Linked DNA regions of Neurospora crassa OR74A. The protein of the gene in region 1 purifies or fractionates together with the protein of each later gene. This does not show direct contact. Links are inferred from orthologs where the notes say so. Each region holds a gene or a part of one and is shown in the gene's direction. Other genes may lie near its edges.

Region 1 (4,812 bases):
GCCCGAAGCGGAGACAGAAATCGACATCGAGGGAAGAAAAGAGTGATAGAGGTTGTGATTAAGGCGTCACAAACTTGTTCCTCCTTCATCTGTTCCCCAAGCCCAGGCAAAAGTCCATCGAATAACAGTCTTTGCGCTCCCCGCCAGCGTCCAATCTCCAAGATGATCGGTCGCCTGTTTTCTTCTCTCTCAACGGTAAGACGGTCCGATTGTCTGAGCAAAAAGCACGTACGCACACGAACACTCTTGCAACAAGCAGACGCACAATCACACCGGCACCTGCAATAGTGTCATGGTCTCATGTGCTCCCGCTGTCGCCATCATGTCGTTGCAGCCTTTCATCTTTTGTGTGTTTTGTTTCGCTCGAGTCATTGCTCCCGCCAATTTAGGCAGTGCCCTTGACCTTGGCCTCGATCTGGAGCGGGTGAGTACCCTTGACCCAGGGCTCGACCTGGACGTTCCACTGTTTTTGCGCCGTCTTGACCAGCTCCTTGTAGGCCTCGAGGTACTCGGCAGGGTCGACCTTGTCGCCCTCCTCCTTGCCAGAGGACTTCTTGCCCTCGGGCTTGAGCATCACCACCGAGGTGGCGCGCTTGGTGCAGGCGGCAACGCCGAGGTCGGCGCGCGAGCGAATGTACAGGTAGGGAACGCCGTGCTCCTCGCACAGAATGGGGAAGTGCATGATCACGTCCATGGGCGAGATGTCGCCGGCGATGATGACGAGGCCGGGAGCGTCGGCGGGAGGGGAGGCGGCGGTCCGGAGGGGGCACTTCTTGATGGCCTTCTCGCACTCTTTTACGCCGCGGTGGATGGACTTGAGCTTGGCGCCTGTTTGTTTTTTTTAATCAAAAGTTAGCTTGGGTTCAGTACAAGTCGTGCGTGGGCTGCGATTGAGGAGCCTGGCAATGCAATTGGAGAGTAGTCACAAAACGTACCCTTCTTGATCAACTTGTAAATCTTCTTGTGGGTCTTGTCGTCGGCGAGGGGAAGGGCAAAGGGGACGAGGTCCTCGGCGGTCTTGACGACATCCTCAGGGTCGACGGAACCCTCCTTCTCGAGGTGAGCCTCGACGGCCTTGGCGAGCTTCTCGGTCTTCTCCTTCTTCTCCTTCTTGTCCTTCTTCTCCTTCTTGACACCGGCCTCCTCGCTCATCTTCTTCTCCTTCTTGTCCTTCTTCTCGGACTTGTCCTTCTTCTCCTTGATCTTGTCGGTGGCACCCATCTTGTCGGATTAAATGTGTGTGTGTGTTGTTGTTGGTGGTGGTGGTTGGGTGTGTGTAGATAAAGTTGGTGGTGGAGGGGGATGGGGTATCAAACAGGAATTAAAGAATGGTTATACAGACAACCACTGCAGTAAAGAGAAAAAAAAGTTACTGGGTTGGGGCGTCAAGGTATTTGGTATCGTGATGGGGCGGTTGATCGCAGAAATGGATTCTTCAACGCAGATTTTACTGGGTCCATCAAGTGACCCAGTCAATCAAAGCAGAGCGACGCGACCAAAAATTTGTAGGCCAATTGTAAAGCCGTTCCGCCCGGGGGCCGATAATGCAGGTGAGCGCCTGGAATTGGGTGCGATAAGAGGGACCAATTTTCCGATAAGCACGCGATAAGAGGAAATGTCTTAAACTTCCACCTTTTGCTTGGTGGGGCTTTCCATTCAGTACGACAGGGATTAGTAGTAGTCTTGAACTTAAACAAGGCCTGCTTCTAGCCTGCCGCAAACTGGCAAACAGCGGCAGTGCTTTGTCCTTGAAGGCCGGTTGCTTGCCTGCCCCACTAAATTTCTAGAGCTTGTGATACCTACCTCCAAGCGCATTCAGTGTGAGCCATTGACTCACCTCGACAATTCACTGGCAAAAAGTCCACAATCCCAAGCGACATTGGCCCAGTTCTGGAAGCTATTGTTGGAGAACCTTTTTGCGACCAGCAGCCTTGTCATTCCCCCCCGCCTATATCGATTTCATAGATATCCGTCCAGTACCATTCGTAAAGACCATACAGCCTCGAGCAGGGAACAGTCGCACTCTCACTTCGACATCACCTCCACAATACCTCAGTAGCACACAGAGTACTATACACAGCTCATCGCCATGGCGTCGTCGCAAATGAGCTATGCCCCCACGTTGGGCAAGCTCCTCAAGTCTCTCAACACTCAGCCCTTGGAGGCTTCTATCGAGGCTCTTATTTAGTACGCCTACGCCTGCTTCATATCTATCTTATATCAGATCCTAACATGGTTGGGCAGCCTCCTAAAACGTCGCCAAGTCAAGGGCGATGATGTCGCCAATGCCACAGCCCATATGCTGCTCCAGGTCGTCGCCAAGTCTAAGTGGCAGAACGTCGATCAGCTGCTCGCAAAGGTCTCCAACACCGGCCACAGACTTGCCCAAGCTGCTCCCACTGAGCAAGTCATCGGCAACGTTGTCCGCCGAGTAATGGGTCTTATTCGTGATGAGGCTTCCGAGGACAGAAATGCCGACGAGATGGGCGACTCAGTATCCGACCTCTCCCAGCTGCCCACAACGCCCACCATTTCCACAAGGCCAGGCCCCACGCCCCTCCGCGCCGCGACTCTCCCCATGTCCAAGTCCATGTTCAACCTTCTCTGCGTCTCAGAGACCGCACAGTCACCAGTTACCGGCGCATCTACCCCCATGTCCCAGGGCGCATCTGCCAACATGCATGCCCTACGGTCCGAAGTTATCGATGGCATCGAAGAGATTATGGACGAGATCAGCCAGGCGGACGACCAGATTGCGGGTTTCGCGGACATCCAGATTCACCCCGGCGATTACGTGCTCGCCTACCTCCCCTCCCCAACAGTCGAGAGATTCCTCCTCAAAGCCGCAGCAAAGAGGAGGTTTACCGTGTTCATCGCCAGCGCTGAGCGTCAAAAACCCGGCGAGGTGCCCCATGCTGCCCTACGGAAGAAGCTCAACGGTCTCGGGGTCAACGCCATCAGCCTGGCTAGCAACGGCTTGATGGCCTATATGCCTAGGGTGAACAAGGTCGTTATCAGCGCCAAGGCCGTATATGCGAACGGCGGTATTTCCACAGAGAGTGGGTGCAGTACTGCTGCTAGGGCAGCGCAGGAGTACTCCAAGCCCGTTATCGTTCTAAGCGGTGTTTACAAGTTCTGCCCCGTAGATCCGTCGGACGATGGGACCGAGTTCGAGCAGGGAGATTCTTCGACGTATGTCGACTATGCCGACGGTGAGGCCGTCGATGCCCTCGAGGTAGAGAACATCGTGGGCGAGTACCTGCCACCCCAATACGTCGATGTATACCTAACAAACCTGTAAGCCCTGAACCCATAATTTTGATGACTGAAGAACCCCAACACTAACAACTTTACAGTGGCCCCCAAACACGAGATCATCTTGCCACCATCATGGCCGACCATTACAAGCTCGAAGATATGGGCTTGTCTTTGCATCTGCCTTAGAAGCCGAAGAGAAAAAAATGAAGAAAATAAAAAGACGCGGTTAATAATGTATCATGCTGCCGGTCCAATGCAATACTCGTTCAAATACCTCTCGACTGTTCCTGGTTCAACCTGGCCGACCAATATGCGTTCCGAAAATACAACATCGTGCGTTGCATATATGTCAACTGAAGAGTCATATCTGTACCCATAAACTTGTTTGTTCCTTATCATCGTGCATATTTCGGTAGTCCCGATGGCGAGGTTTTGCGGATTCACCGGACTCAGTAGCTTTGGACGCTGGCAGAGGCTTCGACGGGCATGGTTAGATGGGGTGAAGGGACAAGATGTGTCGCTTTTTCTTGCTGGGCCGCCATCGAACTTAAGGATCTAGATGAGTGCAGTACAGCATCACGTAAGGATATCGTATATAAGCAGGAATCGGGGCCTCCGCTGCGGACATCGGATGCTGTTATGTCGGACTTCATCTGCGCGCCGAAATATATTTCCCTGGAAAATACATCTCCCTGCACAGGGAGTCTGACAGATACTTAAACTTGCCCATCCATTCTCTTTCCACTCGAATTAATTCCCTCTCTTTTTCTCGTCATCCGTCTACGTACTCGGTTCCTCGCTCCTTAGGTCATTTATCCACGTAAATCAATACATCAACGGCTTGTCCTTACTTCACGATCCTTCAGACACCGATACTTGTCTATCGCGTCCCTTTCTTCGAGCGGGAGTCATTCTCCGTCTTCTCCAGCTCCTTTTTCATACCATCCACGTGACTGTTTGGGGCTACATCCTCACGGTCTACGCTCGAACGGCCTACACACGTACGGTCTATATACCTACACTACACACAACCACTGTTCAAGACTCCTACAGTGCAAATCCCCACGGGTCATTACCTCCGATCATGATCCCATAGTCTATCCATCTACGACCTACATACCTACCTACGATCCGTACACCGACGGTCCAAAAACCCACGACCATCGTCCACATAGCTCAACCCGTTACCTCCTCGGGGAATCCGCTCCAACCTCAAATCATACGCTCGCTCGGCCGGATCGCGATAATCCAACCAGTCAAAGTCAACTACCACCAAAATGTCACACGCACGCTCCTCGTTTTTATTTCAAGTCCTCTCCCTTTCCACCGACACCCCCACGACTTCTTTCACTAGCCCCCCGCAAGAACAACCTGCCACCGCTGCCGCCGCATATCCTCCTCTCGGCTCTCCGAGAAGTGCACCCACAGACTGGCCCGACGAAGCGGAGGAGATAATCTGCTACTACAAAAAGATGCGCGAAGAAGGCAACTCACCCCTCCTTGACCCCGCGAGGGTACCTGATGATGTTTATATGGGTATGGAGGAGGACATCA
Region 2 (4,506 bases), on another chromosome or scaffold:
TCTTCGAGGTTGAGGGTTTCGCCAGCGATCAGCTTCCTCGTTTGCATGCTGCGGGTCAGTTCATGGAAAACCGGCCTTTCCAGATAACCAAAGATTTTGATGGCGCTGAGAAACTCGTCAAAGTAGCTAGCTAGCCCAGACTTTACTCCTTCCTCCTGTGTTTCGGGGAACAGATCAACAGCTGGCTCTTTGCGCTGGGGCTCAGGAGGAAGCCGTGAGTACATGTTTAAGTAGCGATATCTGACTACCCAGGTCACTCCTGCCATCATGAACAACATAATAAGCACACTAAGCATACCGACGGTTAGATCCACCAGCCTTGAGTCCATGTATACAAAATGCGGCTGGCGGATGACTTACAGCGTAGTGGCGTTCATGGTCACCGTCAGACTAGTCGAAAAGATGTTGAACAGAAAGGTGGGTGTAGTGATGGTGGTCAGCTTGATGACAAAGTATAGCACACTCGAGATGCGGTGCAACAGCCAGAGGATGATGGTGAACCATGAAGTCGGGGTGTGTTCGGGAACCACATCGCTAGTAGCTTTCGAGACCGCATCGCTGGCGAGAGCGACGACAGACGAGAGGGCTTCTGTAGGATCGGCGAGGATTGCCGTCGCAGTCGTGGACGTTGTCTCGGAAAGCACCGAGCTCATGGCGTTGCCGAGGTTGCTAAGAGACTCCATTTTCAGAAGCCTGAAGCACCAAGCAAGCAAGCCAAGAGTTACCGGGCGAGCCCGTCGTGTAGATCGGTTCTGACAGAAAGAAGAGAGTGTGTATGTATGTTTTTGTTTTTGTGTTTCCTTTTTTTTATAGGGTTGTAGGTATCGCGGTAGTGTCGCGCCGTCGTCGTGGGGATGGTCGTGAAGAATAGTTGGTGTTCGATCGATCAGCGTGTCTGAACCCCAAAAGTACCGTCGCAACCTGATCAAGACCTATGAGCTGTCCCCTCCCCGATGTGCCTGTGGTTGAAACCCAACTCTTACTACCTGGTCTGCGGTGTCGTCGCTCTGTTCTTTTTCATATCGGTCCAAGTGTTGTCACCCAAGACGGAGACCGTCGAGAAAAGCGAAACGGGTGAGCTCCTCCAAAAGTAACGACATGTGCGGAGGGTTTAGATGAGCCCAGTGTCGTCGGGTGTTGGTCGGCCCTCGGGATTCGTTTGGGTGCCGTGCAAAAGTCGAATCTCCAAGTCGCCGTTGGTGGACAAGCAAGGTTCAGTGATTGAAGCTCCCTAGCTCGACGATGTCCAAGGAAGATTCCAGGCTTATCAGTGACTAACCCCACTGTCGGTTCACGATTGACGTCGTTGTTCCTGCCCACTGAGCTGGCGCTTGGCACAGTGGAGTTCGGGGCAGGTGGAGTAAGTAGAGGTACCTAACCGAGAGCAGGTACCTGCCTTTGCGTACCGTTGTTCCCACCTGGGCTGCTGTGCGCTTCCTTACCTAGGTACCCGACTTACCCCACCTCAAAAAAAAAAGATGGAGCCGCGTCTCACTTGCCGTCACGGTCAGAACGTGAAATTCACCCCTCAATCCGGCGCACCAGCCACAGCCTACTTCGTTCCCTCCCAAAGTGCCCACGCCACTTTTGCAGCCTGTCTGCACGTAATTTTTGGTTGGTACCCGAAAAATACTGCGACGCATCTGGCTAACTTTGAGTGAGTCCTTTGAGCCTCGCTGGACCCTCCGAGAACCCGCTGCCGCAACCAGAACTCGAACTTCCAGAGGACCTTTCCCAGCTGTGGCCACTTGCAGCGAAACTCGGTCAATTTTCTTTCTCGGCCATCAACCCCTCCAGACCATCCACTCGAATTCCATCTCGCCCATTGTCGCGAAGCTCGTCGCCGACATTACCCTCCCCCTTTCAACACCACTAACACCACCACTTATTTCACCGTTTGCCCCGCCCGGGAAAAGGCACCAGTCGCCAACATGTCGCTCTCAAACTGCCGTTTCTATGAGGAGAAGTATCCTGAAATCGACTCGTTCGTTATGGTCAATGTTAAGCAAGTACGATACACTGGGGTCCCGGTGGTGCGCATGCGCATGTGGATGCGTCAGAGCTGACCCCCAGATTAGATTGCCGATATGGGCGCCTACGTCAAGCTTCTCGAGTACGACAACATCGACGGCATGATCCTGCTCTCTGAGCTTTCCAGAAGACGTATTCGTTCCATCCAGAAGTTGATCCGTGTCGGTCGCAACGAGGTCGTCGTCGTTCTCCGTGTCGACAAGGAGAAGGGTTATATCGATTTGTCCAAGCGTCGTGTGTCCCCCGAGGATATCGTTCGTTGCGAGGAGCGTTACAACAAGAGCAAGATCGTCCACTCGATTATGCGCCACGTTGCCGAGAAGACTCTTGTTCCCATCGAGCAGCTTTACGAGACAATAGGATGGCCCCTCAACAAGAAATACGGCCACTCGCTTGATGCCTTCAAGCTTTCGATCACGTACGTCATTCCGGGAAATAGGCGTACAGCTGTGGGACAAAATGGCGGTATTGGACAAGATGCTGACATGGATGTGAAGCAACCCCGACGTCTGGAATGACATCCAGTTCCCCACCGAGGCCGTTGCCGAGGAGCTCAAGACCTACATCAGCAAGCGTTTGACTCCCCAGCCTACCAAGGTCCGTGCCGATGTTGAGGTCACTTGCTTCGGCTACGAGGGTATCGATGCTATCAAGACCGCTCTCCGCACTGCGGAGGCTCGCAACACTGAGGAAACCCAGGTCAAGTGCAGACTTGTGTCCCCTCCCCTTTATGTGTAAGTCTTTGCCAGAAATAGTCTTGCAATGTTGAAGACAGAGTGGAAGCTAATAACTATACACAGCCTTACCAACACCTGCTTGGACAAGAATGCCGGTATTGCCCGCCTTCAGGAGGCCATTCAAGACATGCGGACCAGCATCGAGGCTGCTGGTGGCCACCTTGTGGTGAAGATGGAGCCCAAGGCTGTCACTGAGTCCGATGATGCTGAGCTCCAAGCTCTTATGGAGAAGCGTGAGCGTGAGAACGCTGAGGTCAGCGGCGACGAGAGTGTCAGCGAGTCCGACGACAATATCCCCGAGACCGTCTAAAGCGCCTCTTCATTTTGCAGCCATTCTTAAACGGAGCTATCTTTGCAGGCTCATTGGGATACTCGACACTATTTTGAGGAAAGGTTTAGGGATGCATGTATACAGTTTTTGCGACACAGGGCTGGCGTCTAGGGGATACAAAAGTCCTTCAGGCGGTAGAGGAATCAACCAAAAGATTGCATCAAGCGTATGCCTAATGAATGTGAGCGAGGGACGAGGATTGATGAACACAAGACTTGATATGGATACATAGTCATTTTATGGATGCACTTGCTGTAACTAGGTAGATCTAGGCGTTCAAGGATATGCAGCTACCGGGGCTGATAAGCGATCTCATCGTTTTCTTATCGCCGCCTGCCCGGGCATGTGGCTGCAATTATTGTCTTCTCCATGTTAACACACAAGCTCCGTACTGCTCACTGCCCTGCTCACTGAGCACGTTGAGGCGAACATACGCCCTCTATTTCACAGCAGCATTGCGATTCACAGCAAAGAGTTGCATCGCATTGACATCTTCGGTAGCTCGATAACTCGCTTGGTCGGATAGCGATGGCGGCGCGATGGGGAGCAGGAATTCGGAACGGATTCCTCGGTCAGTTCTCACACTACCTCATTCGCTACGCAACATGGATCCCTCCATTGGTGGTCTTCAACGGCTGGGTTGCCGAGATCACACAAATCAAGGGGCCGTCCATGTATCCTTTCTTCAACCCGCACTACAATGAGTCAACACGTCGGGACATCGTACTGGTCTCTAAGTGGTACCCGGACCGGAACCTCAAGCGCGGCATGATTGTGACCTTTAGGTGAGATCCAAAATCTCATCCTACAGCATCTGGCGTGCCGCATTCGGGGCATTGGTTGGGAACCTGACGACTAACTGTAACCCAGAAACCCACTGAACCCAAAGGGAAAGGTCGTAAAAAGAGTGGTCGGAATAGCAGGCGACGTGATCCGTACCAAGGCGCCTTACCCGCATGAATACGTCCAGGTACCAGAAGGGCACATCTGGGTAGAGGGAGACGGCGACAAGACCAAGGACAGCAACTACTACGGCCCGATATCAGCGTGCTTGGTCACCGGCCGTGTCACGCATATTCTGTCGCCGTGGGATCGATTTGGGCGGGTAAAGTGGTGGGAGCATAACTTGCGACCGGGGATCAAGAAGGCACGCCATCTGCTGGAGTGAGCCATTGCGAATCGATACACACCTTGTTTGCGTGAATGGTTCATATTCACACATGCTGCTTTCTTGGGTGCACACACAGTCCTTGTGGGTTTGTAGACGAGATAAGATGCTCATCGTCAACAAACACCACGGGTGGGAAACGACAAGGGTGGCGGCAGTCAAACAAAGAGGAGGAAACATCAGCAGTTTCAGTGCTGGACCACAGGCCTCTGTTTGTTTACTATTGTCTCAGGGGGGTG
Region 3 (4,825 bases), about 4.4 Mb from region 1:
CGTTGGCGATTATGAGCTGGAGGAGGACGGGCGGAAGCGTGAGGAGCGGGCCGACCATGTCACAGGTGGTCGTCTAAGGCGGTCGGGGAGATGGAGTGGTGGTGGTGGTTGGAAACCTTGAGAAAGTGCTCGGGAAGAGTGTTGAAGAAAGCTGGAGAGCCTGGATAGTTTTGGTGGTATGCTTGGATGATGGTATGAGTAGGGCTATGGCAGCAAGGATGAGTTATGGTGATGGATAGCTATTCGCTTCATCATGGGTGTGCGGTGTCGCAACCCTCGACAATTATACCCAGATCAGTGTAATTACGTAGTGATGGCTTGGGTTAATATGGCGAACGAGGAAAGGAAGATCAGAACCTGCATGTTATAATAGTATCAGTCGAACCTAAAGTCAGCAATAGTAATGGGTATAATTGGCATTGTCTGATGATCAGATGTATCTGCAGAGCTTCAACGCTTGCTTCCACAAGTATAACGACAGTCCACATGCATTCTACACATGTCTGTAATTCTTCACCACCAATGCAACGCAAACTGTGCAAGAACGAAACATACCCCTTTATGCTAGTGTTCCCATACCGTAACGCCAAAAGAGCACTGTGTCCACCCCTGGTATCCCAGATTATACCGAAAAAATAGGGTATCGAGAATTGTGCTGCCGTCGCCTTTGACTCGAGTACCTCATCACCACGGTCGCCTGTCTGCCTCCCTCATACTGATACTGGCGTAGCAGCTCCTATCCAACCGGCAATGTTGAATAGCGTCTTGTTATACCATTGGACCTTGACCCCGTGCGCCCACTCCATGTACCGTCCCCAACCTGCCGGGCCATGTTAGCAACTGACTTTCCGCATCGTCGTTATTGTCTCCTCCCACAGCGCAAGCTGTCTTTCCCAAGATCTGGTTTTGGTTTGTCTTACTCCAATAAGCAAACTTGCGCCCCAAAAACTTGCCCGCGAACGGTATTAGCACCAAGTTCAAGAGAAGCTGCAGCTGCTCGAGACTCTGTTCCCATTCCTTTTGTGCGTCTGATTCGTCGTCGTACTCGGAGTCGTCCGAGCCTAGGATACTGCTGGAGATGGACGGGAGGGAGTCGACATCGTCGTTGTCGGTTGACGGGGAGTGGTCGTGGAGGACGTAGGAATCGGAGGGGGTGGACATGGTTTTGGATGTCCCGAATGCGCAATTTGTCTGTCTGAGGGTATCGCGTCTCTGGCCGGGAGTAGGTAGCTATCGTCAGTGTGGTTTGGATGAGGCGAGCAAGTGGTCGGCGCCGGCGCACGGTCGGTTGTCGCGGTGAAGATGGTACTGTAAGTAGCTATCGTAGCTCGGGCAAATTGCGATAGTTCGGGATGGAGACACTGTACGAATCGGCGTAACGCCTGACGTGTAGGATATTGTAGAAATCGCGTGGGACGAACTTGATTGCTGCTGGGAGATTCGTTGTCGGTTACGAACACAGCGATACACGGAGATGGATACCTCTACGGACTCGGCGCGCCTTCCAAGGTTCGTGATGGAGCTGGTTGTTGTCGGTGACCGATGACGGGCCACGGCACCAACTGCTGCAGCAGTGCAGCTATGCGATGCTGGAATGGACACCACTCACCTATCGCTGCCGCCAAGCACTGCACCGGACTGCAAGTGCCAGTGCCAACCCAACCGTGTCGGACTGTGCGGCCGTGGCTCGAGCGGGTTGAAGGCACCGTGCTGCAGGGAGGAGGGCTGCATGGCCTGGAAAATGGAGAAGCGGAGGCGATTTGTAGTTGCAAGTGGCGGGCAGCTGTCTGAGCTCTTCCCACCCCACTTGTCAGGTGATTGAGAAGACTGACTCACAGTTTCGCTTCAATCAACGTCATGAGGTGAACACAGCTGAGGCGTGGTGCCGGTGCCCCATCCAGAGCCGTGTGTACAGAAAGAACTCCGCTCAGTCTCCAGCCCAACGACAGAACTAAACGACAGTAGTAGTAGGTAACCAGACCAGGACCCAAGCGGCATCCAACTACCTAGGTCCCCGCAAAGAACAATTCCAGGTCCGAAACTGAAAGAAAGCTGAGATCAGTCTGCCTGCATCGATACCTCTCCCGACCCCAAAGTCTACCTAATCTCATCCATCGACAAAATCCACTCTCTGCGACCAACAAAGAGTCCACCGGAAGAGACATCGATTACAAAGAAAAAGACGGACAATCACACACCTACAGACAGACAGACAGACACCACCACACTCTCAAACACACCAGTGGCCCAGCATGGATTCTGAAGTAAGTACCTGGGATGGATCTCCTTGCTTCAGTACACACTCACTACCTCTACGCCCACACAACACACCCTCCGTCCTCCCCGACCCTACCACCACGCTAGAGGCAGACACCTCGAGCCCTGGGGGGAGCCACGCTTCTCGCCTAGTCAAAAATACTAAGGAAATAAAAAGTCCCATTCACCACACTGCACACCCCTCACTGTACTTTGCTACCTACGCAGTGCAATTATACCTATCCCCGGCCCCAGCCCTCAAGTCCCCTGACGTGTACTGCCCCTCCAAGGCGCCAACCCTCTCCCTCCACCCCCAGCCCAAAATCCACCATAAAGTTCTGGCACTCTGCAGCGCGAAAACGCCGCCAATCATCCCAAAAAATTCCGAGCTTTCCTATCCACACTCGACGGCGAAATCCTTGACCGCTATCGCGACTCCCACGACAAGCGCCTTATCCACTCCGATATACTAACCCTTTAGGCGCCCTCTATCAAAAGACGCCCCTCGCGCAAGTCTGTCACCTTTACCGACGAGAAGCTAGTTGTCAACCCCGACGGTTCTGTCACCATGGACGCCTCTCCCGCCGACGAAATCAAGGAGACTGCCCAGTCCCACTCTGCTCGTACGCCGCCCCTCCACGCCGCTCTCGGGGCCTTTACTGATGCCCCCCAAGCCACCGAGCCCCAGGATGCTGCTGCTGCTGCCGCCCCCGCCGCCGATGATGGCCTCGACCTTTCGCTCATGAAGAAGAAGAAGAAGAAGGTCAAGAAGGAGGACGATGCCGACGCCGCTGCTGATGAGGCCGCCCCTGCCGAGGGTGACGGTGCTATCGACCTCACCATGAAGAAAAAGAAGAAGAAGAAGGTCGTCAAGGAGGATGATGAGTTCGCCAAGAAGCTGGAGGCTCTCAACATTGAGGGCAAGGAGGGCGAGGAGGCCGCCCCCCAGGAGGACGAGCAGGAGGGCGATATGGACCAGGGCACCGGCATTTGGGCCCACGACGAGACCAAGCCCATCAGCTACAACGCTCTTCTGTCCCGTTTCTTCGCCCTTCTCTCGCAAAAGAACCCCGACCACGCCTCTACCGGTACACGGTCGTACAAGATCCCGCCCCCGCAGTGTCTCCGTGAAGGCAACAAGAAGACCATCTTCGCCAACCTGCCCGAGATTTGCAAGCGCATGAAGAGAGCCGACGAGCACGTTACTTCTTACCTTTTCGCCGAATTGGGTACCAGCGGTTCCGTCGACGGCAGCAGGCGTCTGGTCATCAAGGGTCGTTTCCAGCAGAAGCAGATCGAGAACGTTCTGCGTACCTACATTATCGGTATGTCTATTTGATCCTGTCGTCGTTTGGACGTTTTGCGCCCAAGTAGACAATGTCACCACCAGCACCCAACGTTTTGCTCTGACTACAAATGCTAACATGCTCAACAGAGTACGTTACCTGCAAGACGTGCCGTTCCCCCAACACCGAGCTCTCCAAGGGCGAGAACCGTCTTTAGTAAGTTGGCCTCTGTTTACGACGACCATAGCCCCAAAATGCTGACATGTCACAGTTTCATTACCTGCAACTCTTGCGGTTCTAGGCGGTCTGTCCAGGCCATTAAGACCGGTTTCTCTGCCCAGGTCGGCAAGAGAAAGAAGATGCAGGGTTAAGCGGTTTTTGTTTTCTTGTTTCGAGGCCCTTGCAGTTTGCTTTTCAATGTTTTCACGCTTCAAGGACGGAGTTAAGACGGCATTGTATATGGCTGGTTGGGCACGGGTCTTTTACGAAGTAGCACGGCCCCTCTGAACGGCAATCTCTCATCTCCAGTACACGAGAGAGAGGATGGAAGAGAGAGTCTGTGCTACAAAATCAGGTGAATTCCTTACGCGGTAGGGTACGGGTTAATATGACGATACTTGATGAAGAATTGGTACACAAAAAGTTCTGGTTTTTGATGATGGTGGCACACTTATCCTTACTTTGCATAGGGAGTCTGATAAAGAGGAGGGCTTTCTTCTTTTCCTGAGCTTGTCTGATTTATATGGATGAGGGCTGCGAGGTTGTATCTAGACTGATGTGGGATTCAGAGGTTCTCAGGTCATTCATGACCATGGTCAGCAAGCTAGACTGGGAGAGCAAGGAAGAGGCTGACTGAGCGCAGGATTACGAAGCGATGGATTTTGAGATCTTGCGAACAGGAATTATTCTCTGTTCTTTGCAGTATGTATAGCCATTCAGTCTACCTTTATAAACTACATTATGTTATCGAAACTCAAAGTGGCAGTTGAGTAAAATGATAAACCTTGATACTCCGCGATTGGTGAGAAAAAGCGGCCGCTTAGGTTCGAAATCTCACCTTGACGCGTATACATTGCGTATACACTACGTTCCGATGTTTTGGCGATCGATCCATGATATGCCGAGCACATGCATGATAGTTAGCTTCGGGAGAATCTTTCCCCTCCACATTTTGCATCAACAAACCCATATAAGACGATGGGCCGCAGGCAACAACTCAACGGTTCAACCTCGTCTGTCTGTTCGATAGATTAGTCAACACTTTCCAAGTCAACGCGTAACGT

Evidence for each region.
Region 2: the proteins of NCU08952 (region 1) and NCU08277 purify together in Saccharomyces cerevisiae (affinity purification with mass spectrometry; 5 studies listed by BioGRID, with this or other methods). This does not show direct contact. The link is inferred for Neurospora crassa OR74A from reciprocal best matches to the Saccharomyces cerevisiae genes GCD7 and SUI2.
Region 3: the proteins of NCU08952 (region 1) and NCU04640 purify together in Saccharomyces cerevisiae (affinity purification with mass spectrometry; 5 studies listed by BioGRID, with this or other methods). This does not show direct contact. The link is inferred for Neurospora crassa OR74A from reciprocal best matches to the Saccharomyces cerevisiae genes GCD7 and SUI3.

Annotation. Positions count from the first base shown.
Region 1 is NC_026505.1:5,799,221-5,804,032, forward strand, and holds NCU08952 (translation regulator GCD7), read left to right. Parts: upstream 1-1,754; 5' UTR 1,755-2,089; coding exon 2,090-2,187; intron 2,188-2,244; coding exon 2,245-3,297; intron 3,298-3,356; coding exon 3,357-3,444; 3' UTR 3,445-4,104; downstream 4,105-4,812. Other genes in the region: NCU08951 (ribosome biogenesis protein Nhp2), read right to left, coding at 386-828, 936-1,221; NCU08953 (hypothetical protein), read left to right, coding at 4,536-4,812. UniProt on the Saccharomyces cerevisiae protein: Acts as a component of the translation initiation factor 2B (eIF2B) complex, which catalyzes the exchange of GDP for GTP on the eukaryotic initiation factor 2 (eIF2) complex gamma subunit.
Region 2 is NC_026504.1:2,569,056-2,573,561, reverse strand, and holds NCU08277 (eukaryotic translation initiation factor 2 alpha subunit), read left to right. Parts: upstream 1-1,494; 5' UTR 1,495-1,931; coding exon 1,932-2,009; intron 2,010-2,078; coding exon 2,079-2,449; intron 2,450-2,528; coding exon 2,529-2,765; intron 2,766-2,831; coding exon 2,832-3,078; 3' UTR 3,079-3,469; downstream 3,470-4,506. Other genes in the region: NCU08276 (hypothetical protein), read right to left, coding at 1-288, 361-683; NCU16791 (mitochondrial inner membrane protease subunit 2), read left to right, coding at 3,628-3,884, 3,970-4,267. UniProt on the Saccharomyces cerevisiae protein: eIF-2 functions in the early steps of protein synthesis by forming a ternary complex with GTP and initiator tRNA. This complex binds to a 40S ribosomal subunit, followed by mRNA binding to form a 43S pre-initiation complex.
Region 3 is NC_026505.1:1,363,819-1,368,643, reverse strand, and holds NCU04640 (eukaryotic translation initiation factor 2 beta subunit), read left to right. Parts: upstream 1-1,886; 5' UTR 1,887-2,252; coding exon 2,253-2,264; exon of another isoform or gene 2,265-2,737; coding exon 2,738-2,879; intron 2,880-2,930; coding exon 2,931-3,581; intron 3,582-3,691; coding exon 3,692-3,758; intron 3,759-3,813; coding exon 3,814-3,913; 3' UTR 3,914-4,560; downstream 4,561-4,825. Other genes in the region: NCU04639 (non-classical export protein Nce102), read left to right, coding at 1-77; NCU16952 (hypothetical protein), read right to left, coding at 711-820, 921-1,161. UniProt on the Saccharomyces cerevisiae protein: Component of the eIF2 complex that functions in the early steps of protein synthesis by forming a ternary complex with GTP and initiator tRNA.